Linked DNA regions of Rhinolophus ferrumequinum. The protein of the gene in region 2 interacts with the protein of the main gene of each other region in a pairwise test. Links are inferred from orthologs where the notes say so. Each region holds a gene or a part of one and is shown on either strand. Other genes may lie near its edges.

The links.
Region 1: the proteins of CLK2 (region 2) and YTHDC1 interact in binary tests that used the Homo sapiens proteins (3 or more experiments, as listed by UniProt). The two-hybrid records come from large-scale screens. The link is inferred for Rhinolophus ferrumequinum from reciprocal best matches to the Homo sapiens genes CLK2 and YTHDC1.
Region 3: the proteins of CLK2 (region 2) and ECE1 interact in binary tests that used the Homo sapiens proteins (3 or more experiments, as listed by UniProt). The two-hybrid records come from large-scale screens. The link is inferred for Rhinolophus ferrumequinum from reciprocal best matches to the Homo sapiens genes CLK2 and ECE1.
Region 4: the proteins of CLK2 (region 2) and PRPF38A interact in binary tests that used the Homo sapiens proteins (3 or more experiments, as listed by UniProt). The link is inferred for Rhinolophus ferrumequinum from reciprocal best matches to the Homo sapiens genes CLK2 and PRPF38A.

Annotation. Positions count from the first base shown.
Region 1 is NC_046288.1:27,395,268-27,403,511, forward strand, and holds the start of YTHDC1 (YTH domain-containing protein 1), read left to right. Parts: upstream 1-5,077; 5' UTR 5,078-5,182; coding exon 5,183-5,210; intron 5,211-8,244. UniProt on the Homo sapiens protein: Regulator of alternative splicing that specifically recognizes and binds N6-methyladenosine (m6A)-containing RNAs.
Region 2 is NC_046305.1:290,416-298,772, reverse strand, and holds the start of CLK2 (dual specificity protein kinase CLK2), read left to right. Parts: upstream 1-5,159; 5' UTR 5,160-5,458; intron 5,459-7,042; coding exon 7,043-7,212; intron 7,213-7,888; coding exon 7,889-8,117; intron 8,118-8,357. Other genes in the region: HCN3 (potassium/sodium hyperpolarization-activated cyclic nucleotide-gated channel 3), read right to left, coding at 1-85, 3,053-3,336. UniProt on the Homo sapiens protein: Dual specificity kinase acting on both serine/threonine and tyrosine-containing substrates. Phosphorylates serine- and arginine-rich (SR) proteins of the spliceosomal complex.
Region 3 is NC_046292.1:14,414,182-14,422,029, forward strand, and holds the start of ECE1 (endothelin-converting enzyme 1), read right to left. Parts: upstream 3,492-7,848; coding exon 3,363-3,491; intron 1-3,362. UniProt on the Homo sapiens protein: Converts big endothelin-1 to endothelin-1.
Region 4 is NC_046292.1:37,401,906-37,409,378, reverse strand, and holds the start of PRPF38A (pre-mRNA-splicing factor 38A), read right to left. Parts: upstream 3,276-7,473; 5' UTR 3,090-3,275; coding exon 2,960-3,089; exon of another isoform or gene 2,875-2,959; intron 623-2,874; coding exon 463-622; intron 1-462. UniProt on the Homo sapiens protein: Involved in pre-mRNA splicing as a component of the spliceosome.

The DNA.
Region 1 (8,244 bases), on a different chromosome or scaffold from region 2:
TTTTGAAGATAATTTCTGGTCTATAACTTTGTGTTTTTCATACATGATTTCTGTATGTATAAAAGAATACATTTTTTATGCTTTTAACATTTAAATAATAGCATCATACAATACATAGCAATGTGAAAATCTGAAAGCTCTTTTTTTACTTAATATTATGTTTTCTAAATCTAACCACGTTCGGACAAGTAGCTCTAGTTCATTTTTAATGCTGTATTGCATAACTGTATATGAATATAATACAAATTATCTATGCAATTCATGTTGTATTTCAGGCCTGAGTATGAATGTGTCACACTTTATTGATTTATGTATCGCTTTGTCTTACTAAGTACAACTCTGTCTTGTTTACTATAGTTTTATAATAAGTCTTTTTTTTTTTCCAAGTCAAGTTGTCCTTTCAATCTTAATTGTGGAGGGTGCCATTCAGCTTCAAGTTGTTGTCCTTTCAGTCTTAGTTGTGGAGGGTGCAGCTCAGCTCCAGGTCCAGTTGCCATTGCTAGTTGCAGGGGGCGCAGCCCACCATCCCTTGTGGGAGTTGAACCGGCAATGCAATCTTGTGGTTGAGAGGACTCGTTCCAACCAACTGAGCCATCCGGGAGCTCAGCGGCAGCTCAGCTCAAGGGGCTGTGTTCAATTTTAGTTGCAGGGGGTGTTGCCCACCATCCCTTGCGGGAATCGAACTGGCAACCTTGTGGTTGAGAGCCCAGTGGCCCATGTGGAATCGAACCGGCAGCCTTCAGAGTTAGGAGCACCGAGCTCTAACCGCCTGAGCCATGGGGCCGGCCCTATAATAAGTCTTGAAATCAGGTAGTGCTAGTCCTCCAAAATTGTTTTGGTTTTCAAAATTGTTTTGGTTATCCTAGGTCGTTTTCATTTCCCCACAAACTTAAATTCACCTTGTCAATTTCTATAAGAAAGGCCACTGTGATTTCAATTGGAATTGCTTTGAATCTGTATGTCAGTTTAGGGAGAACTGACATCAATACTGAGTTCTCAATGCATGATGAGTAAGTATCTCTATTTAGGTCTTCTTTGATTTCTCTCAACATTGTTTTGTAGTTTTCAGTATATTTAAGTATTTTTTTATGCTGTTGTAAATGTTTTAAAATTTCATTTCAAACTGTTGGTTGCTATATTTAGAAGTACAATTGATTTTTACATACGACATTGTGTGTTAGGTATCTATTACTGTGTAACAACACACGCCTAAATTTAATGGCTTAAAAATAACTTTAGTATTTATGATCTCTCTCAGTTTCTGTGAGTCAAAAATTTCAGAACCACTCAGCTAGGCAGTTCTGGCTCATGACTTGCAGTCAAATGTTGATTAGGACTGTAATCACATGAAGACTGATCACTGAACTTGTGTAGATTGGATTTATGCTTTATAGGTACAGATCTGGGGAAAGCCCAAGTTGTTTCTGAAAATACAAGACTCTTCAAATTTTGTTTTCCCTGTGGATCTTACTGGGCATTGGTTTTAGTCTTTGAGTAGGTCATGATTAGACTTTACCTTAGGCCAAGGTCCTTATTCTTATGGTGTGGCCTTTCTGGTGTATCAGCTAGATATCAGGGGCTTGATGAGGTACTGATGAGGTCTCTCCTTAGAAGACCTAAATCTCCAAAGTTCTCTACCACTGCTCTTTCCCTAGCTTTGTTTGTGCTCTAGTATCTCTCTTCTAGTATCAACTTAACGGTGGCTTAAATCTGGTAATACTTTCGTGGTTCTTCCCTGCACATGGTTACCTCTGGGCACTTTTTATTTTATTTTTATTTATTTATTTAGTGAAAGGAATAAAATTATATTAATAATTCAAAACTCATCATGGCTACGAAAATTCTGTTAATCTTAATTCTGAATTTATACCATCAATTTAAAAGGAACTTCACCCTTCAGAATCTGCATTATATTTTAAAAATAATGTTGTCATGATCCCTGAAGTCTGAAGAGAATTGGCTGTACATTTTCAGTTTACCCCTCTTTACTTAGGAAATCATCTGCATCCATAACTAAGCCAACTAAGCCAATCTATCTAGAGTCATTTAATACTACATTTTCTGATTAATTTTACCAACAATAATTAGTAGAACAATCTATCTTTCCTGAACTACAGAAATGACAACAGTAGCTCCAGCTTATTGAACACTTAACTGCCTTTTTCTAACCCTTTTGTAGCAAATCTTTGAAACTAATTCCTAAATTCTCCTTTATAAAGACACTAAAGATTAGAGGTTAATTTCTCTAAGTCTTTATGCTTGTGAGTGGTAGAGCCAGAATTTGTACTGGCTCATTGTGACTGCAAAGCCTGTGCTCTTTATCACTACACAATCGTTGACTTGAATAAACCAACAAGGCTAGAGTTCAATCCATTATAACCTTGAAAACTTTTCCTTTTTATTAACATAATGAAAGAAAATCATATTTTTAAGAAGTTGTGCTGTATTTTTACGTAACTTTTGATATCAAAGATTTAAATATAGGATATTTACATTAAAGCTTATTTTCAATTACTTCTTAGTACTGATAGGATAAATATGGAATAGGGAAAACGTCATCTTAATATCACCTCTATTTTCTTGGCTGGTTTCTCTTGCTCTGCCTTACTTTAAAATTATTAAAGAAAATGTCAAATATTAAAAAAAAAAGGTAGAGAGTATGTCTATTCACATATGCATAACCCAGTTTCAAATCATGGGCAAGACTTATTTCATCTATACCCCCCCACCCATATCCTACTGCCCTCTACCAGTATATATTGAAGTAAATCCCAGATTCCGTATCATTTCACCTGTAAATATTTTAGTATCATGAAATTATAAACATTCTTTTCTAAACATAACTTATTACAACCAAAAAATTAACAATTCTTTCAAAATCATCAGACTTTCATTCATTGTTCAAAGCTTGCTGGTGTGTGTATTCATGTATCCAAATTGGTAGCCGAATAAGGGCCAGAGTATTAGTTTTGTAGCGCTGCTATAACAAAGTACCAGAAACTGGTGGCTTAAAATAGAAGTTTATTGTCTCATAGTTCTAAAAGATAGAAGTCTGAAATCAAGGTGTTGACAGTGCCGTATTTCTTCTGAAACCTATAGGGAAGAATCCTTCTCCTTGCTTGTCTAGCTTCTGGCTTTTGCTGGACCACTCCAAACTCCTTGAAGAGAGAAACCAGATACTACGCTATATGTATTTTTTTAACCCCAGAGCCTATAATAAATTTGGGACTGAAAAGGAATTTAATAAATACTAGTTGACTGAACAAAAGAGTAGAATATTATACAACGCTTTTATTGATTCAGCTTCTTCTTACCTAACCATTGAATATCAACCTGAATTGAACCATGGGCAGATACGCCACTTAGTACTCTTTTTATATGAAAACCATCTTGCCCACCACCCTTGCCCTTTCTCCCCTTCATCTAAGCCAAGTCTTTTATTTCTCAACTAGGCTTTATTTTCTGTTTTCCTTGACTCTTCTCTATCCTGTATCCCCTCCCCAGTCGGAACGACATGCCCCTAAGGGCTCCAATAATATCCTGAGCTTACTCTATATGAGGCAGTGTGTATTATCAAGTGGGTGGGGGCTGGAGCCAAATTCCCTGGGTTTGAGCCATATTACTACTACTCCTGATCTTCTGCACTTAATTTCATTATCACTTCACTTTCCCTTTATGTAAAATAAAGCTAGTAATATAGCTTAATTGGTTTTCTGGAAGATGAAATCAGATTGTGTAGGTCAAGCGCTCAAAACAGTATCTGGCCCACAGTAAACAACACAATTTTTAGCTGTTATTCTTACACAGTAATTCCTGTTACTTTGTTTCTTCCCTATGTTACACTAAAAATTCCTTAAAGGCAGAAGTATTGCCTGTTCACCCTTGAATCCTAAGCATCTGATACATAGCTGGGTTTTGTATTTACTGAAGTTTCTTATTTGTGTTCTTCCACTGCTTAAATAAATCTTTCCACTGCCTTCAGTTTGGTCTCAATTTGTTACAATGACCATCAAGGACCAAGACACTAGACTTTCTCTGAACATGTCATTTGTTTTCATATAACAATGTTACCTTTTTTCCCCTTCAAATTATATTTCCTTTATAAAGCCAGTTATGAAGTAGTGAAACAAAATTATTTTCATTCCTTTGGACAATCAACTTAAAGTTTCCTTGCAGATTTTACCATAATATGTAGTTAAGTAATTTTTGGTCACTTCAGGAGTTTCAATTTCTCAATAGTCTGTTTAAATCAACTGTGTACCCTAGAGCCCCCATAAATGTTTAAATCAAATCTGTTATGTGAATTACAAAGCCATTTTAAAATAAAGATAATTCATTTTCCCAATTAAAAACAAAACTAGTAGGTTTTTGTGACAAGTGAGCTGGTTGCATCCTGAGCTGCATCTGGGAAGGCCCGGCACACCAACTTAGAAAGCACATTTAGTACCCAGAGCCGGTAAAGTTGTGGGGTGCTGCCAAGGGACCGGGCCAGACTTGTCCTAATTAAATCTTCGATTCCCAGAACTGAATCAGGAGTCCCGCGGAGCGACAGAAAACATCTTTGCCCTGAGGCTGGAAGGTCCGCCAGTAGGTGTTTCAGGTGAGGAAACCGAGCTACCTAAACGCAGTAAACGCAGCCGATTACCCGTAAATAACTCACACAGCCTAATCTCTGGAAAGCCTTATTCCAGGGACATCCGGGCTGCAGGGGGCGGGGCGACGTCCTGACGTTATGTCACGTTCTCTTGCTTGTTCCGCTTCCCCGCCCCTCTCCGCACTGTGACGTTCCCAGGGAGGAACGAAGCGTAAACAGCGCAGGGCATTTCGGGAGCGGGAGTGTTTCACGCAGGAAGCAGGCTCCATTTTAGCGCCGCTGGCCGTTGCCATCTGTTTCCCTACCCTCCCTGTCGCCCCCTCCCGTCCCCAAGTCTCAACGGGTAGGCTGGGCCTAGGCCTCCGGAGGCTGGAGTGCAAGGAGGGAAAGGAGAAAGGGAAGGAACGGGGAGAAAAAGGGTGAGTCGCGAAAGGTGAGTGGTGGAGGCCAAGGTGCGAAGCGCGCAGCCCGGCGTACGGACTGACGGACGTGCCTGTGCTAGTGCTGCCGCGGCTGGGGCCCCCGCGCGAGTCGCGTCGGAGCGGCGACGGCGGCGGCGGCGGCAGCAGCGGAAACAGGAGAGGAGCAATGGCGGCCGACAGCCGGGAGGAGAAAGGTTAGTGCGAGGAAAGGTGACGGGCGGAGGCGGGGCTCGGCAGTGGGTCGGTGGAACCGCGGTTCTGGGTTGCGGGATGGGGGTTGGGAGGTTAGCTTCCCGACATGGAGCCGGTCCCCCACACCGAGACGCTTGAACTCATTGGAAGAGACCAGGCCTGCTCTTTCGTTCGGTCTCCATTTCACTTAACACTTCATCTAGCCTATGGTTTTTCTTTGATCCTAATTCTCCTGTTCACTTTCCGTTTAGCTGTCCTGGGCGCGGCTGAGAGAAGGCCTGTTCTGAGTTGCAGGCCCTTAGGTTTATTTCCTGGCAGGATTATGCGTATGTAATGCGTATTTTCAGCACATCCTTTTCTGTTAGGCTACATTTCAAAATCCCTTAATGCCACGATCAAAGCTGGTAGTCTAGTAAGTGAGCATATTTAAGAAGTCGTATGGATGGATTATTGATCTCGAGAAATACCTACAAATAACTTCAAGCTGTTTTTGTTATATGGGCAAAGTGGAAAGAATTGCCCCTTTGGTTCCTCGAATACTTATTTTGGAAGACATGACGTTTGAAAATAGATAATTGTATGAGTTAGGCCTGGCAAAAAAAAAAAAAAAAATCCTGGCCACTATTTTGATGGAAACACATTGTGTGTAGCTCCCAGAGAGTATAATCGGGAACAAATGGGTGTAATTTGTAGAGAGCTGGAGGGATAAAATCATGGAGAAATATAGGAAGAACTGATGTATCAGAATGGAACCTCGTGTCTTTTAAAACACCGACCTCAGACCTAGAGATGTGAATGAATGTAGGTCCTGGGTCAGTACATGTCTGGAGAATGGTGTAGGCTAGATGCTTCCTTAAGTTCTTTTCCAGCCCTAAAATGAGCATGATAGTCGTGGAAAGCTTGTATTTGATAAAGAAAAAAATGTTGCACAGTTTACTGCCCTGTATTTCACAGACCTACCTTCCCGTGTGCCTAATTAATTTGGGGTAGGGATTTGTTAAATGGGCTCTAGAGTCTAGTTGCACTAGGCCTGTGCTTTTTTCTTAAGTTTTCTCCTTAAATGTCTTCATACTTCAAATTGCTCTAGGATAGGGGCAAGTTTGGCAAGGGGAGAGGGTGGGAATGTTTTTAAGATATTGCTCCTATCTTAAAGCAGCTCAATGATTAGGTTATAGTAGTTTAATTTTTTAAATGAATTCTAAAAAAATCTGCATCCCCATTTTTTTGGAGAAATCAGAATGTGAACATAGGATTGCATGGTGTTAGTGAATAAAGGAAACTGCTTTTAATGAGTAAAGTCAGTTATTAAACTAGATAATTTTAATCAATAATAATTAGTCAACGTTTGATTGTTTCAGAGTGTACTCTTGTGAGCTTTGTGTATAGGAGTGGATGGACAGTGGTTGTGGTGGGTGAAAAACCAAATACAATGAGTAAAAGTCAGCACTCTGAAGAATTCATTGTTAAGATGAACGTAGTTATAAATCAGTAATAGGCACAGTAATGTACATTGAGGAAGGAAAGTGGGTGATGTTTTGAATATTTTGTGTTGGAAACAGATTTATTGATGATAATGCAGTTCAAATACATAAATTTTATAACTATAATTGGGGAGTAGAAATGCCACTTATTAGCAATACTTAGTATAAATTGTCAAGTGTTTGAAAGGCCTCACATTTGTGTAGTTTTTAAAAACTTGATTTCTATAATTGAACTTACATATTTTAAAACTTCTGATATAAGTGCTTATCTTTATAGTTTAGATCAAAGATTATCTAGATTACTGGGGAAGCTAGCAAATACAGTCCTACTAGAATTGCTTATTTAATTTTGGAATGGGAAGATTTCTAGAATAACTCATTTTGCAAATAAGGAAACAGGCTTGGGGTGTTTCACTTACTTGTTTGTTGTCACACAGCTAGAATAATAGCCAGAATTAGAATCAATACTTGACTCTTCCTTCTCATACTTGAACAAGAAAAAGTGGGAAGCTAAGTACTTACTGTCATCAGTTACTTTAAGAAACATTAGAAAATTATATAGATAACCCCTGCAAGAATCTTACACATGTCACATACCTTAGGTCCCTTTTAAATGATTTCATAAATGGGGTAAGATTTTGATAAGAAATGAGTTTAATTTGTAGAGATTTCCTATTAATCACCAAACAGTCAAAAGACTTTTGGTTATAAAGTCATTCGATTATCGGGCTTTGCACATTAGCTGTGTAATAAACACATTAAGTTCTATAATGGTCTGTGGTACCCATACTTATAAACTGAAGCCTATATAACTGGACAAATTGCCAGCTGCCTCTGATTCCTGTGGTGATTATTGGTCCCAGAAGTAGATTTGAAGGACATTGGAATGTTGGTGGTGGTAACTAATGTTAAATGCCATTCCCCCCCCGCCTTCAAGCTGTTGTTTCTATCTAGTTGTGTAGGACACAGCTCCCTGGCCCATGCTCGTGGTATTATGAGCCTTGCATTACCACCCCCAAGGCAGTCGGTCTTCCGTCATTGGTCGGCTGCTCACAGCAGCTGGTGGCAGCTCTAGCTGGCTGCTCTCACTGGCTGCCAACCTCTCATACGGGCCACCAGCTGCCCATGGCAGCACACGGTAGCCCATGCCGACCTCCAGCTGCTCACAGCAGCCCACCTCCAGAGAGAACTGTTGTTCACAATCTTAGCTATAAAGGGTGCAGCTCAATGGCCCATGTGGGAATCGAACCGGCGACGCGCTCCAACCACGTGAGCCACCGGGCTGCTCCAAATACAATTTTTCTATATGAGGAAAAACACATCTTTTATATTACAAACACCTTGTATGAATTTTAGGCTTTTATAAAGTTCTCTCCAAAGCATATACGTTATACTCCTATACATTATGCTCCTATACATTATAAAAGGGTAATGTATTCAAAGTGTGGATAATTATCACTTTCATAAGTAACATGTTTTCTATATTACCAAACTGAAAGCTCCAAGAGGGCCAGTAGCATGTCTGTCTTGTTCACCAGGTTCCTAGTGTACGGTA
Region 2 (8,357 bases):
CTCCTCCTTGAAGAAGGTGATACCCACGGGTAGCACGATGAGGTTCCCCACCATCAACAGGAGCATGACCAGGTCCCAGTAAAACCTAAAGTGGGTGTGGAACGGGGAGTGAGACCACAGTGATGTTTCACCAGCCACTAGACTGACAGCAGATCCTCTGCCCTGGCCAAGACGGGCAAAGATACAGGATACGGGACTGACCACTTACAGCTGCTGGGAGTGGACATTGGACCACCATTTGGGAAAACAGTTTGGTATTATCTCGTAAAGATAAACATTGTACTCCCAGCAATTCCATTCTCTGGAGGAGGTATATACCGGAATAGCAGTGTTAAATCCAGAAACAACCTGAGTGTCCGTCAGTAGGAAACTGTAGATAAATGAGATAAATGCATCTGATCTTTTCATGCCCCTGTATATATACTACGCAACTGTGAAAGCATCCAACTGCAGCCACGTGCCACAGTATGTATGAATCTCACATATTTAATGTTGAGCAAAAGAAGCAAGAAACAAAAGCATACACATCGCATGATGTCACTTGTACAAAGTTCAAAAGCAGCCCAACTCAAGTGCATAACTTAGGGAGTCACAGAAAAATGGTAAAACTATAAAGAAGAGTAAGAAAAGGAGTACCATAAAAGTTATAATAGTAGGTGTGGGAAAGGAATGTGAAGGCAGTAGGGAGCTTATAGGGTACCGCTCTTGACCTAGATAGTTGTTACATTGTTGAGAGTGTGCTTTAGAATTACTCTTTCAAATATATATATATATATATTTACATAATATATATGTTTCAAATATAATGTATATACATAATATATATATAAAACATATCTCAATCATATGGTCCACTATATACTATACCACTCTCTCCATATCTACTATATACATATATAGATAGATAGATAGATACACACTATGTATCTATATATATATATATATATATCTACTACATATCTGTTATGTATAGAATATTATCTATACCCTTAATATATACATATATATCTTCTTAATATATATGTAATATCCTTACTATATATGTGATATATGTCACTATTATTAAATATTTTTAAAGTTAAAAATCAAGTTCCCTGTGCTAATCTCACGGGGTTGTTGAAAAAATATGCACTGAGACAATGGCTGTGACAGTTCTGTACAAGCACTAGCTGGTGGTGTGACTCACCCACTCTATTCCAAGACTCCTCAAGAGGTTGTTGCCCCCCCATCTCAGCTATCTGCCCATTCCTGGTGTAGTACTTCACCCTCTCCCCAGCCTTCCCCACCCCCACCCACCTCCCCAAGACAGTCGGACCCATGGTTCTTGTTTCTCTGCTGGGATCTGCTCTACTGTGTCCCAGGCTGGGGGTGGTCTGTCCTGCCTCCCATCTAAACTGAGCTTTTCAGGGATGCTGCACCCCACTCCACAGAACCTCAGACAGGACTGCCCGTGGAGAAGCTCCATAGGAGATCCTGCGGCCCCTGGGCTTGAAGTTCCACCCTCCTCTCCTCCCCTGACCTCCCTGTGCCCACTGACTCTGAGCCCAGGCAAGGGCATGAGCAGGGGAGAGCCACACTGCTGTGGTGGAAGCTGTGGAAAGAACAGGTCAGGAAGGAGCTAGGTGAAGCCCTCATTCAGAACAAACAAACAAACAAACAAAAAACACCGGACAATTTGAGGGTCCCAATTAACTATGATGGTTTTATTTCCAGGACAAAGCTAAGCACATCATTGACCCAGCACCCAGCCCCTCTGACTGTAAAATCAATTCTTTCAGCCCCCGAAAGAAGCTTGGTGGTCCCCAAGTCCAGGCCTCCAGACAGCCCCTCAGAGTAAGTGCTTTCAATCAACCAAAAAAAAAAAAAAATCCTCGACCCCCTCTTCCTCCCCCGCCTGGGCCACTGGAGAAATCCTGTACTGTGAGCTGGGAGAGGAGCGGGAAAGAGGGTTCTCCCAGCCATAGAGCAACTTCACTGCCAGCTCACAGGCAGGCACAAGCCCGGCGGGTGATGCAGTGGGGAGGACAGATAATGAAGCACCATAATAAGGGAGAGACATGGCTTCTGGGGGTACAGCAGAGGGTGAAATGGGGGAGGGGAGGGAGATCCACAGGAGACTGGAAAAGGGGCATGGTGAGGGGGGAATGAGGCAGTAAAGGAGATGGGAGTGGAAGAAATAATGGGAGAAAGGAACAGTTAGGGAATGTGGAGGTTCGTGGATTCAAGACGATGTCTAGGTCTCCAATTGTATTTCCAGACTCCTGATTTCACGCCTCATCCCTTCGGCTCATTTCGCTCCCCGGGTTGGGTGCTTTACACATATCCTTGCCTCACCCAAAAGCTGTCCTTCGTTTCCCGCAAGGACAGGATTGCTCTCCTCCCCTAGCGACCTTGATGTAGAGGTACAGCCTGACGGGGACGATGAAATGGCCCTGCCCTCACCCTCAGTGCCTTTTCTCTGACAGTCACCTGGGCGGTGGCCATGCCCCCGCCTTGCTGCCTCAATCGCGGAGCCCCAGCCATGCCCCGCCGCATCCCGCCTTCAGCACCAGGGACAGCGACCAGACTGCTGTCAGAACACCCCCCTTTCCTCAGGGTCCCTCTTTTTCCCGGTAACCTGCCTTGCTGAACTAGGCAGGTGCTAGGGGTGGGAATAGGGGGTAGGGTGGGTGGAAGGTAGCGGAGCTCGGTTTCTCCACCAGGCTGACCGCGAGCCTCGGAATATGCCATGATTTCCCAGGTCCCCAGCAAGCAGTACTGGAGGACGCAAGGATCCCTAACTCCAGTAGTCCCTGTGGTCCAGGTGGAGTGCCGGGTTCCTGAAACGGGAAATCCAGGTCTCCGGCGTCTGCTTGTCCCTTCCGGCGCCCCCAGCCTGAGAAGTCATTGAGAATTCCCAGGCTAGGCTGGTGGAAGTGACTCTCTCGCCCCACCCGGGAACCCCTCGGCCGGAAATGAAGTGACCGTGGAGGGTGAGGCGGGCCCGGTCCCGGTGCCGCGGCCGTGGGGGTGGGATCTGCGTCCCCCGCCCTCCTTGCCGGGCCCCCAGTACCGGAAGTCGCTGTAGGGGTGGATAATCCAGGCCCCCGCTGACTTGACCCGCTCCTGCTCGATTTCCACTGCTCTGTGGCTACCGAACACGCGAAGGCAGAACTTGTTGACCGTGGGCTGGAGCAGCGTGCCGAGCTGCCTCCTCTTGGACTCGAGTCCGGATCCGGACCCGGGGATCGGACCCGAGGTCGCGGTCGTAGGCGCCGGGGCAACGGGAGGCACCGCCTCCAGTCCAGGGGTCGCCCGGTCGCCGGCCCCCGTCGTCGGCCGCGGCTCCGCCTCCATGACTCCCCACGGCTTACACGCTTGGCTTCTTAGATCCGGCCGCGGCCATCCGGGACCCCCGGCCCCTCCCGGAATCGGAGCCCGCGCAGCCCCGCGGGCTCGGAGCGGAGGCGTAGTTGGCTGGGAACTGCCAGCGTGCCGGGCAGAGGGGGTGTGGTGACAGATTCCCCCGCGGGCGACGGGCGGGTTGCGCTGCGCCCCCTGGCGAGGGCAGCGCGAAAGCTGGGCAGGGCAGACGGGGGCGGGGCTGTCCGAGAGCCTTCCCTGGAGGAGGCGGAGCCAATGAAGCCGGTACCGGGAGGGACTCCGGGGTAGGCGTGGCTTAGCGAATGGCGGCGGTTGTCCAAGTGCAGGAGGAGACCGCGGGTCAACGCTGCAGGAACAACGGAGAGGGCGTGGCCTAGAGTTGACGGGCTTTTATTCATAGAATGCCAGGGAGGGGGGGACGCCTTCAAATGGCGGGAAAACCGGAAGGTGGTTGTGGTTTGTGAGACCAAGGAGGGCGATGAATTGGGGACCAATAGAAGAGGTGGGGAATGGCTTTTGAGATTCTTCTTTCCCACTCTCGCTCCTGGACTTCCTGCATTCCACTTTCTTTCTCTCCACACTCTAAGCATATTGCTTTCTTCTGTTCTCCACACTGCTCACCCTAGTATTTCCCTTTCCGAGTTCACTCTGCCAACCTTCAAATGCCACTCTGCCCGTCCCTGAGTGGACCCTGAGGACACAACAGTTGGTTCAGATCTCATGTGCTCTAGGAAACATAGAGACACATTTCCCAGGTAGGATCTAGCCTAGAGCTTTCTAACCACTTTTTTCACAAGGCTGCCCTTAACTGTTTACAGGCCTTTCTCTCCCACTAGACTGTGAAGCTCTAAAGAACAGGAGCCTGACACCTGGCACAGTGCGGACACATCGTGGACACTCAGTAAATGCTTGTTGAATGAACGAATGACCTGGGAAAGTGTACTTGGAGGAGGAAGTGGACTCGCCACTGTCCTCTCAGCACCTTCATTAGCCTTCCTCTTTTATTTTAGGGAACTTTTCCTAAACCATTTCTGGCTAAGTGATCTAATCTCCATCTGACAATCCTTCATCCCAGCTCCCCTGATATTCTGACTTTAACAGAGTTATCCTCAGGCTCTTTTACATTTCCCTTTCTATTTCTCAGTCCCTTCTATAGCGTCTCTAATTGCCCAGTTTGTCTTAAGGTCTTCTCTTTCCTCTTCTTTTTTTCAATGCAATAAACTTACACTTCTTATATGGTGTGTAAGTACGTAACATACCGTTCTCAAGTGATCTCCCCTTTTTCAGCATCCGATTCTATATCCCTCCATCTCAAACCGTTCCTTCACGGCCATGCCCCGACCCCACACGTGCATAGCTTTTGTTGAGGAGGAAAGGCGGGAGGCCCTCTTTGCTGTGGTTAGACAGGCGGATTGCTTTAAGAACTGGATATTTACAACCTACGTTGGGAGAAGCAGACCTCAACATCGAGCCTCAAAAGGTTTGCGGAGCGGCGACACTCCCTAAATGACAACCGTTTTTTTGAAACCTCCAAACCGATTTCAGTGAGCCAGGGAAGTCTCAGGAAAGGGGCAAAAGATCGAGAAGGGATAGAGAAGGACACGAGGCGGGGCGGAGCGGGCCTGGCGAGCCCCAGCGACTCCCTCTCCATCGCCATGAACTTCCGCCCCCGGAACCTCCTCGGCTCTCACGGGTCCACGCCCGCGAGCTAGTAGGCGAGGACGCGGTGGCGTGCGCGGCCCTGGGGGCGGAGCCCAGGGGTAACTGGGAAGCGACGCAGGACGTGCGTGCGTACGTACGTGCTCGCTCACGGTGGCGGCGGCGGATCGGAGAGGCCAGACCCGGAGACCCAGCTGGGATCGGGCCCCGGGCGGGGGCGGTGCGAGCGGCGCCCAGCGGATCCTGGGGGCGGGGACAGAGCCGGGGCGGGCGGGACTGGAGCGGAGCCCGGGCACGAGGCGGGAGGTCCCAGGGTCTCGGGTTCGGGGGGTGGAGCCGCACTTCGTCGCCGCGGGGGTGCCGGGACTCCGGCCGCAGTGCCGCCGCCATCACGGACTTCCTGTGGGACAAGCGCACGGGCCTCGCCGCCAGAACGGTGAGCGCGCGGGCTGGCGGGCCGCGGGGTCGCGCGGAAAGATGGCGACCGCGGGGCGGGCGGGGATAGGGTTGAATTGGGGGCCAGGGACCCAGGCGAGATTAGGAGAGGAGGAGGGCTGAAGACCTGCGAAGCGGTAGAGGAGAGAGGTAGGGAGTGGAGGTGGAAGAAGACCGGCTTGCCTTAGACGGATCCGGGAAAACCTATAGGAAACTTGGGAGGGACCAAAGTAGAAGGGATGATGGAGTAGGGATAGGAGTGGTTCCAGAAATGACAAGGAGCAGGATATCAAAGTTGAACCAAGGCTGGAGAGGGGCAAGACACCACCGTGTCCCTTGGAGGATATGGAAAGAGTTTGACTTCAGAAATTAGTTCTGGATTTCCTGAGTGAGAAAGGGAAACAAAAGACTTAGAAGTTGGACAAGGTTGTAGACGGGAGACGCTTTGTGGGGTTACTTTGGTGGCAGTCTGTATGTGGGGAGGTGACATTTATGTGGCTGTGCTAAGCAAGGTTGGGTTACCTGGGAGAATCTTGTGCTTGCATCTTCTTGGCTTCCTGCAAGCCCTGTTAGGCCAGGCATGAATCAAATACCAGCCTCCTCCTCAAATTGAGGAGGTTGGAAAGAAGTAGCTCCGAGTGGGAGCCAGATGCCGGAGTCATTAGCCTTTCCACAAGTAATGCTCCCTCCACCAAGACTTCTGTCTGTCCCTGGGCCTATTGCATTTCATTCGGCCCTCCTGTTCTCATCTTCCTGGATTGTGACAGTGATTTATCTTTTGATTCTTTCCCTGAAGGAAAAAAAGGATTTGTGCGCCACACCATTCCATTCCCAATAACTGGAAGGTGGCTGGCCCTTAGCCAGGTGGTGCTGATACTAATGAAAAACCAGTTATTCTGTACTTCCTAAGCACAAAAGGGGAGGGGCCAGATGGGAAGCTGTGGGAAGCTTGGGGCTGCCTGAATTAAGACCTCTCCAGGGCGGTTTGGCTGGAGATGTGAGAGGTGATTAAGACCCAGGGCCCTAGAACTTGCTTATACACTGCTGTATGTAGAATCCTGGTAAACGGGATTCCTGCCCTTAGAACCCAGATGGTCTAGTTGGGGAGGTAAAATGCACCTTTAATAACCATAAAACGTTTATTGTAACAGTGTGCACTAAAGCTTTATTCTGTAGAGTTGTGAGGAACTCCGATGGCACAGACCTGGCTTAGATTCCAGCCAAGGATGAACTATGGCAGTTGCCACCAGCTCCACCATTTCACTCGTAAGGAGCTGTGGCCCAGGCCTGCACGGCTTCATGGAGCCAAGTTGGAGGAACATCAGAGGAGGGCAGTGCACTGAGTGGGGCAGAATTAAGGGATCCAGGGGGTGAGGGGAGGCTTCCTAGCGTTTTCACCCAGAGTTAGTAGGTGAACGTATACTCCATTGAGGAGGTATTGTGGGTACAGAGGAAGACTGAGGAGGTTGGTGTGGGTGGTAAAAAGAGAGAGAAAGGCAGAAAGCGGCTTAGCACCTGAGTCCTTGGGGACACTTCTGAAAACCCCGAGCTTTCCACACTATTTCTGTTTTTCCTTCCCTTGCAGATGCCCCATCCCCGAAGGTACCACTCCTCAGAGCGAGGCAGCCGGGGGAGTTACCATGAACACTACCGGAGCCGAAAGCATAAGAGGCGAAGAAGCCGCTCGTGGTCAAGTAGCAGTGACCGGACCCGGCGGCGGCGGCGGGAGGACAGCTACCATGTCCGTTCCCGGAGGTGAGGCCTCATACTCGGCGTCCCTCGTGTAGTCGGTTTACCTGCTAAGCAGCTGGGAGAAGGGGTGCTCCCGGTGGACAACAAAAGGAGGCACATGCCCTGTGGTGTGAGAGGGCTGTCATGGAGGAAGGGTACAGTGAGGGGCCGAGGAAGCACCCAGCAGGTTTGGTTCAGGGAAGACATCCTGGACAGCATGGCATCTAAGCTGGTCTGAAAGATAAGGGAGAAACGTCCCAGACAAAGAGTAGGAGCTAGACGTGGCTAATGAGCCAATAGACGAGACAGGGAGGTCTGCATGGTTTTAATAGCTTAGTGGCATATTCAGGGGGAGCGATGGCTTAGGGACAGTTTGGAGCAAAGCTGGATGTCAGGAAAGACTCGAGAATGAGATGGCTGTTTGTTCCATTGAGTCAGTGCAGGGGTGAGGAGCACCCAAAAGGCAGTAGTTCTGCCCATGTCTTTTCAGAGGTCTTGGTGACAGGCAAGGGGTGAGTCGTCCTCGTGCTTAGTTCCTTCGCATCTGTCATCCTTGGTCCTGTCGGAGTGACGTGTTGAGTGTCTGAGAGCCATTTTTCCAGCAGTACTTTTTGTCCTCACTGAGGGAGGACGTCGTACTTGATGTGGCAAGGAACGTGGCCTGAACAGATGCACCTAATGGGTGTTTATTGTCCAACAGCAGCTATGATGACCGTTCATCAGACCGGAGAGCATATGACCGGCGGTACTGTGGCAGCTACAGGCGCAACGACTACAGCCGGGAGCGGGCCGAGGCCTACTATGACGCGGACTACCGCCATTCCTACGAGTACCACCGGGAGAACAGCAGCTATCGCAGCCAGCGCAGCAGCCGCAGGAAGCACAGGCGGCGGAGGCGGCACAGCCGGACATTCAGCCGCTCGTCTTCGGTGAGTGCCAGCCCAGCCCTCTGTCCCCACCCCCTCCTCCAGCCCTCCGGGACCCCGGTAAGTGACAAGTGTCCTGTGCTCAGCGGAGCGATAGGGCATGGACACAGGTGGCCGCTGAGTCTGTCTGCTCTCCTGGAAGCTCTCTGGCTCTCGGAGGGCCCTGGCACCTGCTTTGGAGATGGATGGGCACGGGGCGCTGTGAACCCCGGTGCCCCCCCGGCATGCGGGCCTTGTGCTGGG
Region 3 (7,848 bases), on a different chromosome or scaffold from region 2:
AAAAAAAAAAAAAGATAAAACCACTACTAAGAATTAAATATCTCAGCTTTCCTTTCTCTTGAAACAAAAATGGATTTTTGGAAGTAACTGATTGAGGTTCAAAGATTTTGGTAAACAGTCATGGTCATCTGCTCCCCGGTTTAGGCTCCAGGGGTAACTTTAGCTATTTCCTTTCAAGCCACTGAAACAGTGTGTACTGGGGCGTGGGGAGACCAGGCAGCCAATCTGAGCAGAGCACAGGCTTCCAAGAGAAAAGCTATTTTATTGAGGGCATCACTGAGATATCACGCGTGGTGAGTTTCAATGATAATCCCAGTAACAATCAAATCCATTTTCTGTGCACTATACCAAATGCTTTCACTTATATTGTCTCATTTCAATCTTTGCAACAGCTCGGAGAGGTGGATTAATAATATGAACCCCATTTTACACCCCCCCCAAAAAAAAGCTATTTAAGTGAGTTGCTTTCAGGTCTGAGAGCCCATCAGAGGCAAAGCGGGGGCTCCGTGTTAGAGCTATCTGGCTTTAAATTCTGTGCTCAGTCCACACTGACTAATTTTGGTGAATGACAATGAACTTGTGCCTAAAACATGAGACAAAGAAAAAGAAAAACGCTTTCAGGTGAGGAGCAGGTAGAACTTTGTTCCAACTAAATTCCGCACTTTGTCAGTAAGAAAGGTGACAAGTTTGGCTGAAAGAAGGGTGTTTTCATTGACTAGTGTTGGTACCGATAACCGGAGTTCCTAGAACCACTGGGCTCCCAAGTCTTGAAAAATCAAGTCGCTAATTTTTATAGCTGTCTGAGAGAGGGAGATTTGGGGGACTAGGTCCATTCTTAAAAGCCTAAAATTGAGGAAGCAGTTTTGTTTCTAGCATCCAAATCATAGGAAATTATCCAAAAGGCTAAAAGATGGTCACCCATAATGTTCCAGTTATTGGGCCTATTATCTAATGATAGCTGATTGAGTAAATATATTTTTACATATTGTACCATGAAGTGTTATAATGTTTAATGGCAGCATGTTTTGGAAGTTTTTAACAACATAGAAAAATGCTTATGAAGTGGCATTAAATGAAAAGAGCAGGACGTATAACATCGTGTCCTTAGAGTGAGCTCATCTGTTTAAAAACATATACATGCAAGTGGGAAAAACTAAAAGTACTTATCTCCGAGCATTTAGATTACTATTTCTTTTTAAATCTTTTTTTATATTGGACTCTTTTTCCCCCCACAAATGAGCATGTAAAATTTTTACATTGGGAATAAAAACATCAATGATTAAAAACATAAAAATACTAGAAAACTCTGCTTTGTAAGTGGAAGTGGATGGGTTCTCGACTCTTAGAACAAGCATTGGCTAGTTCACAGCTGCTTTGGGAAAGTTGTGGCGGCTCAAGCAAGCCAGGCTGGGTACCCACAGATGTGCCCCAAGGTGGCATTTCCTGTATAAAAAGTGGACAATGGACTCAGTTTGGTCGTTTGGTGAAATGGCCCCAACACTGCACTCCAACCAACATGACAGCTCTGTGACCACAGGAATGTCCCTAACCTAAGATTCAGCTTCCTTGTCTGTAATATGGCCACAGGGGCCCTTACCTCATAGGTCATAAAAACAACAATCACAGAGGCCCTGTAAAATGCATTACACCCCATTTCGCTAACTCCCATTTTACATGTGAGGGAATTGTGGTTTAAAGAGATTAAGCAGCTAGCCTGCCGGAAGACCTTGAGTGGAGTCAGAATTCAAACTTGGGCCCCTGGCTTCAGGGACTGAGCTGCCTCAGCTGGATGAAGAAGGTACCTGGTCACCTGAAAAGGCTATATCCATGTGGGCTGCTATTATGATGACAGCATGGCACAGTATTTTGTTGTGAATTCCAAATGCTTTTGTGCGGATATATTTAGAACCTTCTGTGGAAGATGAGACTGAGAAAGATTGCTGATTAGATGCTGTTTTGATTTGTGAAGGGAAAAATGCCTGCCACAGAAATCTCATTTCCTGTTGGATTTAGCTTCTTAAGAAGGGTCCGCAGGGAAGAGGTTCTACACAGACTGGGTTTGATTGCTCACTCCCCAGTTTCTAGCTCTGTGACCTACGGCGAGTTGTCTCCCCTTTCAGAGCCTCTGTTTCCTCACCTGTAAGTGAGAGCAGTAACCCCTACAGCTCCTGGGGTGGTTCTGAAGGTTAAGTGGGAAGGGTGCCATATGCCAGCGGGCAGACCACTGGGGTCATGAGTTCTGATCTCCCTGGGACTACTTAATTAGCCTGGAAGGACTCAATCAGTGCTATCTCCCCTTATTAGTATTATTATTCCAGCTTCAAATAGGTGTGCCTGAGTAGGGTTTGGGTCTGGCAGCCTGAGTTTCCACATACTATAAACTTGCTCTCTGGATGAGCTGTGATTTGGTGTCAGTTCACTGGGTAGCCCCAATTCTCCCCAGTGCCTCCCTTGGTCAGCCTGGCAGAAGGCCTCCTGAGCTGAGATGCCCTGGCTCCTCTCTCTATACTGGTTTCTCAGGAGCCAGATTTCGGGGTCCCCTTGGGTGTCCTTGACGCTTCCAACTCGCACCTACCCATCTGCCTGGGTTCCAACCCCACTCTGGCGGAGGTCCTGGTCAGAACTGGCCCCATTCAGTCCCACAGGGAGAGAAGAGCAGAAAGCAGCAGTGCTCACTGTGGTGCCACAAGGCAGGAAGGTGGTGGGCTGATTGGCTTCCCCCAGGGGCAGACCCTGGGAGGAGAACAACTGGACTTTCTGAGTAGGCTGAAAAGTAGCAGGAAAAGGGGGCAGAGGAGGACTGCCTGCCTCCAGAAAATGCAGGGAAAGAGGAAGAATAGGGTAATGCCTACTAGATAGGGTGACCAACCACCCAGTAGGCCCAGGACTGAAGGGGCTACAGGGAAGCAGTTTTTATGCTAAAAATGGGCAGTTTTAGACGCTGCTAGTAATGGGCTGTGCAACCCAGGGCAAGTCCCTCACTGCTTAGCGACTGCCTCTTCTGTGAAAAGGGAACTGGACCAGCTCAGCTCTGGAGAGGTGGGGAAGGTGTGTGTTTCAATTCTGTCCCCAAGGCTGTAGCCCCATGAACAGGTGGTCGGGAGGATTTGGGGAGTGGGTACGGGCAGGGCTGGTGAGGGGAGGCCAGTCCGGGAGCTCAGAGCCTCAGCAACACTTGTGCTCCAGAAAGGTTTCTTCCCTGGGTAGCCCAGGGCAGTCCAGAGCTGCGGGCTGGTACAGACCCCTCCGGGGCTGGCAGGATGGAGGCGGAGGCAAGGGCGGGAGCAGCACCAGCGCGCATGCCCGGTACTCCCTCGCCTTCCAACCCGGGCCAGGGTCTCACAGAGGGCCAGGGCTCCTACCTGCAGGCCGTTTGGGTACCCGTCACCCTCGGAGAGCGAGTCCACCAGGTCTTCCTCGTCCAGCGTGGCCCGCTTGTAGGTCGACATCTGCAACGCCAAGCACAGCACGGACTCCCTCAGCGCCTCCATGGCTCTCGTGCCCGAATGGGGAAGCGGCCCGGGCGCAGCCACCACCACCGCCGCTGCGGCGCCCCGCCCGGGACACCGAGACCGGCCCACCGACCAGCCCGCCGCGAGGGAGGGGGGTCCCGCCTCCCCCGCCCCCTCTGCGCTTATGCAACCCTGCCTCACCCCCAGCGCCGACAGCACTGCGGCCACACATTCGGCATGCTGCACCCCGCATCGCCTGGGTTCCCGACGCCTGGGTCCCTACCCTTGCGGGGGCTACGGCGCACCCAGCTGATCCGGGCGGGCTGGGCTGCGGTCCCGCCGGCATCACGCCACCTTTGCGGGTGGGGCCTGATCAGCGCGTGTCTCCGGTTCCCTCCCTGGCTTCACCGGGAGACCCCCCAAGGTGTGGGAGGTAGGCCTCCCTTTCCCAGAGGGAGAGGCCCCACCACGGCCAGCCCCTAAGGGGACAGGAAGGGGCTTCGCTGCAACCTCTCCTAGGAAACCTGAAGTCCCCCTTCAGTTATCTTCAATGGCAGATACCAAGAGTCAGGTGTCAGGAAGGTGCCACAACACTCGACAGGATCTTCCCTCCAGTGGCCCTTAGGTGTGTCAAGGGCCGTTTGAGCTACAAAGATTGGGGTGAAAAGAGATAAAATAAAAAAGGCAGGTGTCTCTCCTCTCATTTCCCCCTTCCTCTAGCCCAGGGGTCTTTAAGCCAGAGTTCATGAATGATTTCAGAAAACTCCAGAATTCCTCTGACCTAGAATGAAAAAATAGTGTGTGTGCATTTGGGTGGCTGGAGGGGAATCCCATGCTTGCCTCCAGGCTCAAAGGTGTGACTCTCCTCCCAAAATACCGTGTTTCCCCCGAAAGTAAGACCTAGCCAGACAATCAGCTCTAATGCGTCTTTTGGAGCAAAAATTAATATAAGACCCGGTATTACATTATAGTATACCTGGTAATACCTGGTCTTATATTAATTTTTGCTCCAAAAGACGCATTAGAGCTGATTGTCTGGCTAGACCTTATTTTTGGGGAAACACAGTATTAAGAACCCTGGCTTCAGGGCTCGCCCAATGACTCAGGTGCTTGGAGCGCGGGGCTTCTAACGCTGGGGTGACCAGTTGGATTCCCACATGGGCCAGTGAGCAGCGCCCTCTACAGCTAAAATTATGAACAACAGCTCTCCCTGGAGCTGTGCTGCCTGTGCTGCTGTGGGTTACCATGGGCTACCGTGGGCTACCGTGGGCAACCGTGGGCTACCGTGGGCTGCCATGTGTTGCCCTGAATGGCCGGCAGCCAGTGTGAATGGCCGGCAGCCAGTGTGAGCGGCCGGCAACCAGCGAGAGCTGCCGTGAGCAGCCGACTGGGGACTGGCAACAGACTGCCTCAGCCAGGGAGGGAGCACAAGGCTCACAATACCAGCATGGGCCAGGGAGCTGTGTCCTACACAATTAGACTGAGAAACAACGGCTTGAACCGGAGTGGGGGTGGAGGCAGAAGAAAGGGCAAAACAAATACAAAAACCCTGGCTTCAGCTTCAGAGTTGGTCAAAGACCAGGTAACCCTTCCCTCTCTGGAGTCAAGAGCCTCCAGCACCCATTCCCCAGCCCCCGAGACCTCTTAGGGGCCCTGTGACCTGGGCTGAAAAAGTGGGCTCTCTCCAGATGTGGAGTGGAGTGCTCAGGCAGGGACTCTGGATGCCCAGCACTCTCTCTTCCACCCAAGACCCTAACTCAACAGTTCCCCAAAGGACCCTCCACTTCTAGTGAGACCTGGAATCTCCTGCCTTTATACATTTTTTCCCCCAACTTTCCAAAGTGCACATCTGTTCATTCCCATATTTGATTCTCACAACACACATGTGTGAAGCAACAGACTCAGAGAGGAGAGGTGACTTTCCAGGGTCACAGCCACAGGGACAGCTCCTGGCTTCCGCTCCTGCCCTCTTCGCCTTCTCAGCAGCCACAGTGAGCCTTGAAAAAGGAAATTCTGATCTTGCTGCTCCCTTGCTTAAAACCTCTACAGGGACAGTCCCTTTACCAGTCCCCCATTGCCCCTGCTCATCCTGACCCTCATCTTGTGTCCCCCCCACTCACTTAGACCCCAACTTGTTTCGCCCTCACTCTGTTCCTCAGATGCTACAAGTTTCTCCTGCCCACCACCCAGACCTTTATAGTGCTGTTCTATCTGGAACATACTTTCCTATCTCTGCTATTCCCATGGCCAGCTTCTGCTTCCGATCTCAGCTTAAATGTCATCTCTTCAAATGTCCCGACTACCTTAGTAACCTCTCAAATTCTCTATTACAGCACCCCATTTTTCCCTTTATAGTATTTACTGCAGTCTGTTATGTTTTTTTTTTTGTTTTTACATTTACCTACTCTCCCCCAACCCCCTCGACCCCCCGAATCGTGAGCTTTATCAGGGCTGGGACCTTGTCTGGCACAGAGAATTCCCATCACTTAGCATACTACAGATGCTCAAAAGACAGGTAAAATGAATGGTGGAACAAGTGGAGGGAAGTGACAATTACTCTGGGGCAGTACCTTTAAATTCTTGTGCATCTAGCTTTGCAATGCCCTAGGACAAAGGTGTAAGGGGCACAGGTCTCCCGGGAGGCAGAGAACTATGGCAAGAATTTTAATTCTGGAGTCTTCTGCCTCCCTCCCGCTGGGTGGAGTTCCCATTACCCACCCGAAAGAGAAAGGGTTCCCAGGCTTCTTCACTTCACGCTCGGTTACAGCTGGGCTTTATCTGAAACCAAGACACTTGGTTATACTAAGTAACAGGTGTCAACCACCCAAGAAAAAGACCCTTGACAAAGAAGCATCTCCCCAGCCTGGCACAGCAGGTCCTATTTCCTAGACACCTAGGAGTGTGAGGTATTATTTGTAAGTTCTTTTACACCCATCAGCTCATTTAAGCCTCCTGCCCTTCCCTCTGAAGCAGGTATGACTGGCCCCTTTCACAGAACCTGAAATTGAGACAGGGGAAGTAACTTGCCCAGGGGCGGTGAAGCAGTGGTTCCTCCTCCTCTCATTTCAGAGGTCACCCCTCCTGGGAAGCTCTCCTGACCATCTTTCCCTGACCCTAGGTGGCGTCTGGTCCCTTGCTCTGCGCTTCCCCCACACAGCCCCCAACCCCATGCTTCCTTCTATGGAAGCACACAGCACTCTAGAGGGGAGAGCCTTGCAGGCAGGGGCTGGGTCTCCTCTGGCTGGAAGCCCATGGCGGGTGGGGCGGGGGGTGGGGGGGGGAGTCAGGCCCAAGGCAGCCTCTCTGTGGGCGGATGAGGAGGGAAGCTTACATACCTCCCAAGCAGACGTCCGCTGAGATGGAGCGCTTTTATTTTTCAGCACACAAACGATGAGGGGCCCTTCCTGAAATGCCTGCTGCCCGGCCAAAATGAAACTGAACCCCCCTCAGGTGTGCGAATGGCTTAACCGGCTGCGCTCACTAGGTGGGAGCACAGACATGGTAGGCCCACTAGGTGAGCGGCATTGCAACAATGGCAGCCCTATCTTTGTACCCGCCCCCAGCTGGGGCGGGGCCTTCCATTCACCGGCTCGTTGGATCCGCACCCACCTAGAGCCTCAGCCTCAGCAGGTATCACTTCCATTTTACAGAAGTGGAGGGGAATGGGGGGAAGACCCAACACCTACTATGTGCTGCTTGAACCAAATGTATCTCTCCTGACCCCACGATGCCCTGTGAGATGGGAATCAGCACCTCCACTTTACAGATGAGAAGACTGAGGCTTAGGGAGGAGGGAGGACTGGCCTCCCTTGCTCCCCCAGGTGGGCTGGCTAGAGAGCAAGGGAGCTGAGATGTGACTCCTTGCCTAATGACCTCACGATGCTGCCATCAGAGAACCCCAGCCATACAGCTAGTAAGTGGCAGAGCTGGGCCTAGAACCTGGGTCCTGCCTCCTGGTCCCATGATCACTGAGAAAGGGGGAGCTGCTTCTTCATGTGGGGACCTCATGGAATCTGGGGACTCTGAGGTGGCAGGGTGGCCAGCGACTGAGCTCCCTAATTGCCTCATTTGTGGCTGTGGGTGCCACAGCTGGCCACGAGCTTCAAGGAAACAGGGACAAACTCTGTTTTGTGGGGAGCCTCTGCCTTGATCTACTCATCCCTCTCCTGCCCCACCCCACAGAGCCGTGGAGGAGAAATCTGGGCCTGGTGTTGATGAGAAGGGCTTAGCGGAGACCAAAACTGGAGGAACCACAGCTCGTCCTCCAGCTGCACAGAGAAGGTGGTGAAAGTCAGATGAGGGTGTGATGGTGCCAGCTCTGGAAACACCACCCTGTGGAAATCAAAGGCCTGGGGTGAACAGAACTGAGAAATATTAACGCTCACGTGGCTCTGAC
Region 4 (7,473 bases), on a different chromosome or scaffold from region 2:
AGCATACACTGTGTTGTGAGATTTATAGCACTATTCTTTTTAACCTTCACATCATTCCTAACTTGATATTACTGTCTCTATTTTACAGGAATAAGAAAATAAAGCTTAGAAAATTAAGTAACTTCTCTAAGGTCATAGTTAGTAAGTAATAGAGTATGGACATGAACCTATATCTAACACCAAAAATTTCCCTCTTACCTACCACTATGTTGTTTTCTTCACCCTTGAGCATCCAGTGACTGAAATATTTTTTGTGGGGGAAAAGTTACCAAGACTGAGAAAGTAAAGATGATCAATACAATCAAAATAGACAAAATACAAATTCAAGAGTTCAACAGCAAAATCCTAGAGTGGAACTCTCTATGCAAATGAGATTCAATGTTATCACTCCTCTTAACCAAAGCCAAATTCAGGACTAGTGAAATTGAAGCTTTTGTATTAGCCAGTCAACATTTCACTCACTTGAAGTCTTCATTTTTTATAAACTCAACAATAATATCCTTCTCCGGTTGAATCTGAAGCATCTTCAAGGTCAAACACAGAAAGGGAGTTGGTTTTATGTTGCCACCATAGACGCCTCCCACAAACCTTAACTCCATGGCTTTATCGACTACAAGTTCAGCTAAAAAAGACAAACAAACAAAAAAAACAAATAGAGTGGCATCTCAGATATACTAGGGCTAAGATTTCCCCAGTTTGAAGTGGAGAGAAGTTAGTTCAAGGTTTGGTGCTGTGAATACTCATCAACAGTTTACTATTAGGAGAACAAGTGTGTATTAATAGTAATAATAATAAATGCAGATGATCATGCATTGTGGAGTACTCTGAGTACCTGCCATGTACTCTGCTAAACATTTCATGTTATCTCATTTAATCTTCACAATAAGCCATGAAGTAAATTACAGCACTGTCCCTGTTTTCAGCTAAGGATAATGAGGGCTAAGAAAGGTTAAGTGACTTGCTCAAGGTCCACAGCCAAAAAGCAGCAAGTCCTGGATTTAAATCTAAGCAGTCTAACTTCAGAGTCCACACTTGTCACCATCATGTAGGGGAAAAACTGCCAAATTAGGAATTAGAAGTGTCAACATAAGAACGTCCAAAGCTGCAGAGAATTTTTGTTTAAGAGTTTATTTGAGCCAAACTGATATGCTGGGAAGCAAAAAAAATCTCAACTGCTCTGGAGAATGAGTTTCACATTTCTTTTTATACATTTAGAACTAAGGAAGTGTGGGAGAAAGCAAGGTGGGGGAATCTCTATGATTGGATTACAGAATAGTTAACAAGATTATGTGCTCCCAAAAAGAGGATTACTCTGACATTTCAAAGCTGTGTTAACCTAGATGCCAACCATAGACAGGGCTTGCTTCAGGCAAAGATAAACCTTTTACTAAAGAAGTTACAATCCTGGGGCATGACTACACACAATGAACTGCCCAGTTAAGAATTTATGATCAGAGCATCCTGTGGAGTTACTAACATGTCAAATCGACTGCAAAGCTACTTTTTCAGTTCAAAAAAAGAAACAATAACAACTCAATAGCTACATAACCTTAAGCAAACCTCATCTACAGAATGGGAATAATAACCTTTCAATGTTGTTGTCAAAATCAACACTAGCTATGTGAAATGAACTAGGGCAAGTCATTTCACCTCTCTTTGGGCCTGTCAGTTCAAATTTAAATAATAAAGGTACAAAGTTTAAGAGCTATAGTGAGAATCAAAGAAGACAATTCAAATAAATGCTAATGCTTACATGACAAACAGCAAATAATAAATGTTAGCTACCATTAATGGGAAATCTTTTTATATACTAGACGTCAAATTAGGATAAATTCTGTATTAATTCATTCAACATTACAGTTGACAGCTTATAGCTGGGTGTTAAGTACTAGAGATACAGATAGAGGGATAAAAAAGAGGGACACAATTATTACTCTTAAAGAGTTTACAGTCTGGCAAGGCAGAAAGCATCGAAAAAGTAACTGAAAGTGTGATGAGTTGAAAGAAGACACAGAATGCAATGAAAATATACCACAAGAGAATACAATCTAGTGTTGGAGGCAAAAGTCCTGAGTTCAGTTTTGGACATATTGAGTTGGCACGTCTTGGAATTAGATTTAGATCTCAGGGAAAGATCTGTGTTGGAGAGATGAATTTGAAGGCATCTACATGTACAGGATGTAACTATGTTATGGAGATCATCCAAGGAAAGAACTATGGAACGAGAAACTGTGCTTCATCCATGGAATCCTAGCTCGTGGTGGTGGCAGCAACAGTAACAGTACATACCGTATTTAACACTGGTAAAAAAAAAAAACTAGCACCACCATTACCATTGATCACTGACTACTTTTTATCAATATATACCTGTAATCATACCAAACACTTTTTATACATTATTGCATTTAATTATTAGAACCACCATTTAATTATTGAGGGAGCGGGAGGCGGGGGTAGGTATTATTATACTCGTTTCACAGTCAAGGAAGCCACGGCTCACTGGAGTAACAGAGCTACTAAAAAGAGGAGCCAGAATTCCAACAAAGATGAAAAGACTACCTGGCAGGCTTCTCTGAAGAACTGGTATTATATTAGGACCCGAACATGGAAATACTGCAGATGGTCCAAGTTTAGGGATAGTAAGATCATGGATTTGGTTCTGGTCACGTTGACTTTCGTTTAATGCCTTCCCGGGTTTCCGAACTTAACACTGGAACCCACCAAGTTATCATTAAACATGAAATGATTCAAAGAACACAACCGAGACACCTTTCGGAATAAGGCCCTATTATCTGTGTACCCAAAGCCCAACACAAGTCTAGGCACATAGTAGGCGCTCAGGAATCTGAATGACAAATTCCCCCCCAGTCTCACCCTCAGGGGGTCAGTCCCGTCGGCGCCCAAACAGGAGAACTGTGCCACAAAGCGGCCGATGGGGAGTCAGTGCGCTTCCACTCACCGGTAAGCCCAAAGCACTCCTCTTTCCAGTACTTGGACTCATAGATTCGCGTCCGAATGATCTTCTCCACCAGATATTGAGGGTTGGTGCCGTGGATGCTGTGCGCATCCTTTACTGTGCGGTTCGCCATTTTAGAACGCCTCCAGTTCTATTTCCGTCGGGTCCTTTAGTACGTCACATCTACGTTAAAAAAAAATCAGAACTGGAGAAAGGCGGAAGAACTCTCATTTTAAAAGCTTAGGCGACCATCTTGAGACCGGAAATGCTGCAGCGTAAGGAACTTTCTTCCGCAAACGGCGTCGCTGATGGTATCAATGATGGACGCTGCACGTTGACGTACGTACGTCATGCATACTCTATTAGGTGGGCGGGACGGGAGGGCTGGCTGGTGACGGAACGTGGAGACAGCCTGAGGGCGGGGCCACGACGTTTGGCGCGAAATTTTATTCTCTCCACCTTCTTTCCATTCCTAGCAAGGAGCCGGCTTCTGCTCCGGCGTGCGGCTCGGTGGCTGCAAGAGGAGTCCATCTGGAGCAGGTGAGAATTGCTGCAGCTCCACGAGCTCCTGAAGCGGAGACTGTGGGAAGTGGAGGGCTTGCGCCTAGCTTCAGGAAGTTTCGGCGCCCGGTGAGTGTGGCGTCCGGCCGGCTGGAGGGGAACCTGAGCCGCGGGAACTGAGGAAGTTGTCCTTTGTAGACTCAGTCATTGATTCATCCAGCAGATATTTACTAAGCCACCGTTAAGTGCCAGGCACTGTTCTAAGCCCATTAGGAGCGTTCCTTTCCCACATCCCGAATGTTGAAAGTCTTCTCGCTACACCAGGGACTGCAAGTTTTTCAGTGGGGTAGCCGGAAGCCAACAGCATGGAAGCATGAGCATTGCCACCTTCAGCGTCCTGAGACTCTCAGTAATGATCTTAATCATCCCTTCTATCTGCATTGCCCTTGTGAAGCATCGCATCTGTTCCTCCTTTGAGTCGTAGTGTAGCAAGCACCACCGAGAAGTCGGAGCTGTAGAAGTTATTACCCCATTTTACGGATGTAGCAATTGCTCCTGGAGACAGATCAGGTCTAGGTCGCTTTTTGTGGCTGAGCGGTTTGGGCTCCTACCCAGGTCTTTTTCCAGTTGAGCTGCTCTTAACTGCTGGTCACTCATCCACTCCACCTTTCCAGGAGAGAACTCTAATGACGCCTTTTCTACTTTCTAACCCTAGAATGCCAAGGCTTTCTGTTTTGACAGTTGGAAAAAGCACTGGGTTTAGGCATAAGATGCAAGATTCTTATCCTGGTGCGCCATCTGTAAACCTGCAATAATTAAATATGTTAGTTTTTTATTTTAATAGTCTGTAAAAATGGGTACTGGGTGCTTGTGGACTTTAGAAGGTTTATGAATCCCCTGAAATGAATGCAAAATTTTTGTGTGAATTATATGTGAGTTTAATAACATTCATCAAATTAGTAAAATAAAAAGAACCTACTGCCTCTTCCAAATAGAGCAAGGGATTAAGGAAGTGGGAGTGAATTTACCATTTTGCATTTTTTTACTTAATCCCCAGTAATCCTAGAGCAGAGTTTGGCACACAGCGGGAGGTTAATAAATATTGGTTGAATAAAAGGAAGTTTCTGTTATTATCTCACTTTATGGGTAAGGAAATGGAGACCCATTTGTTCCCTCAGTCAGTGTCTGGAAAGCCTGAATTATTATAATAAGCACACCAGAAGCAAGTTCTCTCAGGCATATATTTAACATTATATACTGTAACATAAGATGAAGTGGTTAAGAGCAGTCATTGGAATCTGGTTGCTCAGGGGTTGAATTAAGACTGTGCCATCCTGTATAACATTGGGACAAGTTATCATCTTGAAGTTGATAATGGCATCTACCTTTCATTCAGCAAATATTTATTATTGAGTGCCAATGTGCACTTAGTACTAAGTACTAGCATTGTTCTAGGATTATTGTGAGGATTAAATGAGATAAATTTAGCAAGAGTTTTGGCTCAATAAACATCTGCTATCATTATTTTTACTGCAACTCCCTTACCTGTTTTTCTTGGGTGTGACCCCTGGGCTGGGTAGTATGTGTGTTCCAGATATCTGGTATCTGCAATCCTGAGAGCCTGTAGTGGGTATCTCCTGGAAGCCAAAGCCTTTGCTAGGCCAAATCAGGTCTGTCTTCCCACCCCACTCATCACGCCTCTTGGGGACTATTTCTGCTGATGGTGGATGGGATGAAATGCTGGGTGGAGGGTAAGAAAGTGAAAAACAATACAAAGAGGCCTGACATCTACTATGATTTCCATATGCTGCCGCTTCAGAAGGACTCCTGATTAATTTTTTGAACTTTAACATACATACAGAAAAGTACACAAATCAGAAATGTGTAGCTCAATGCATTTTTTAATTGTTTAAATTTTTTACTTTATAATCTCTGAGCTAATCTGCCAGTTTTAGAAATAGCATGTCAGTGAGTTTTCTTAAAAAGAACATACCTATGTAACTACCATCTAGTTCAAGAAATAACATGACCAGCATCTCAAATGCACCCCGCGTCCCCAACTGTGCACCTTTTCAGTTACCTTGGTTACCTTCTATTCTCACTGCTAACACCAGAGTTTACTTCTACCTCTTTTTGAACTTTATATAAATGGAGTCAATATAGTGTGTATTCTTTTGCTGATTTTTTAGCTCATTGTTATTTTGTGAGATTTTCCCCATTTTGTGTGCAGTTGTAGCTGGTTTAATTTCATTGCTTTATAATGCTGCTATGACCATTCTGGCTCATGTTTTTTGATGATGTGTTTTTTTGTGGGTGTATTCTGTTGGAATTGCTGGATCATAGGGTATGCTTGAATAGATACCTCCAATTTTCCAGAGTAGTGTTACCAATTGACACGCCCGCCAGCAGCAGTGTATGACACTTCTGGCTGCTCTACATCCTTACCACATTTGGTATTGTCCTAATTATTTACATTCATTTCATTCACTTTTTCATTCACCTATTACGAGCCAAGTCCTAACCTAGGCCCTAGGGACACAGTTATGAACAAGACAGACAAGGTTCCAAGATCCCTGCTCTTTTGGAGGTTAACATTCTCATGTGGGAAATACAATAAATAAAGTAACATAGTGGTTATTGCTTTGATAATAACGTGGTATAATGGAACACGATCCCGAGGGGCAGTATAAAGTGTGGGGGGGTAACTTTCCATTGGGTATCAGTGAAGGCCTCTCTGAGGATTTTCCTCGCAGTTGAGCCCTGAGCCATCCCTGCAAATCTTTGCAGGAAGAGGAGAGGACGGCAATTGCCTAAGTCTGAGGGCACTAACAGCCTTGGTCTGTTTGAGATTTGGAAAAGCAGGCCTGAAGCAGGTTGTGCAGTCCAGACCCAGATAGTCTTCTTTCTATACCCCCTGCCTGCTCAGCCTAGGGTGAATCACCCACCTTTGCATATATGCATACACAGTAGTCCCCCCATATCCACAGTTTCGCTTTTCGAGGTTTGTTAACCTGCATCAGCTGCAGTCTGAAAATATTAAATGGGAAATTCCAGAAATAAAAATTCATAAGTTTTACATTGCACATGATACTGAGTAATGTGATGAAATCTTGAGCCGTCCTCCTGTTCTATCCCGCTCAGGACTTGAATCGTTCCTGTGTCCAATGTTGTCTATGCTATATGTGCTAACTGGTTAGCCAGATCCGTTTATCAGATTGGTCACCAGCTATTTTGAAAGAAAGACCACAGTCACATACCTTTTATTACAATATATTGTTATAATTGTTCCGTTTGATGATTAGTTGTTAATCTCTTACTGTGCCTAAGTTATAAATTAAACTTTATCGTAGGTATGTATGTATAGGAGAAAACAGTATACATAGGGTTCAGTATCCACGATTTCAGGCATCTACTGGGGTATTTAAATGTATCCCCTGAGGATGAGTGGGAACTGTACTGGTTTCATTGAACACAGCTCATGATCTAGAAAAGGAATGTTAAATTTTATCTTGACTTGGTTTTGAAGGAGGATGCCTGCTTTGTTAAGCTAAAATATGATCTGGATTTAGAAGAATTGAGAGTATGTATTTGATGTATTTGATGCGTGAGTACCTTATTGATATGGAGGTAGTCCTTCTGTATGCCAATTTTTGGTTTGAAAAAATGAGATCATTGTGCCAGTGTAACAAAATGTCATAGTCAAAGTGACAAATCAGGCCATTTATCTTACAGTTAGATTATTTAAAAGTTGTAGAAAGTTTGCTGAGAGATACCAACTTGCCATAAAACACTCTCCCTGATATTTCGATTTTTTTTTTTAAATGACAGAGCTTAGTGAGTACTTTGAATTACTTGCATCTTTTATCTGTATCCATCTATTTTGCCTGATTCATCGAGGAAAGGTGAAAAGTTTTAAGTTTACTTCTGAACAGTTCTGTGTTACATGAACCATTAAAAGGAACATATATTGAAGGTAAGTTAGTGTTATATATTTCCTTGAACATTTATTGAATCTA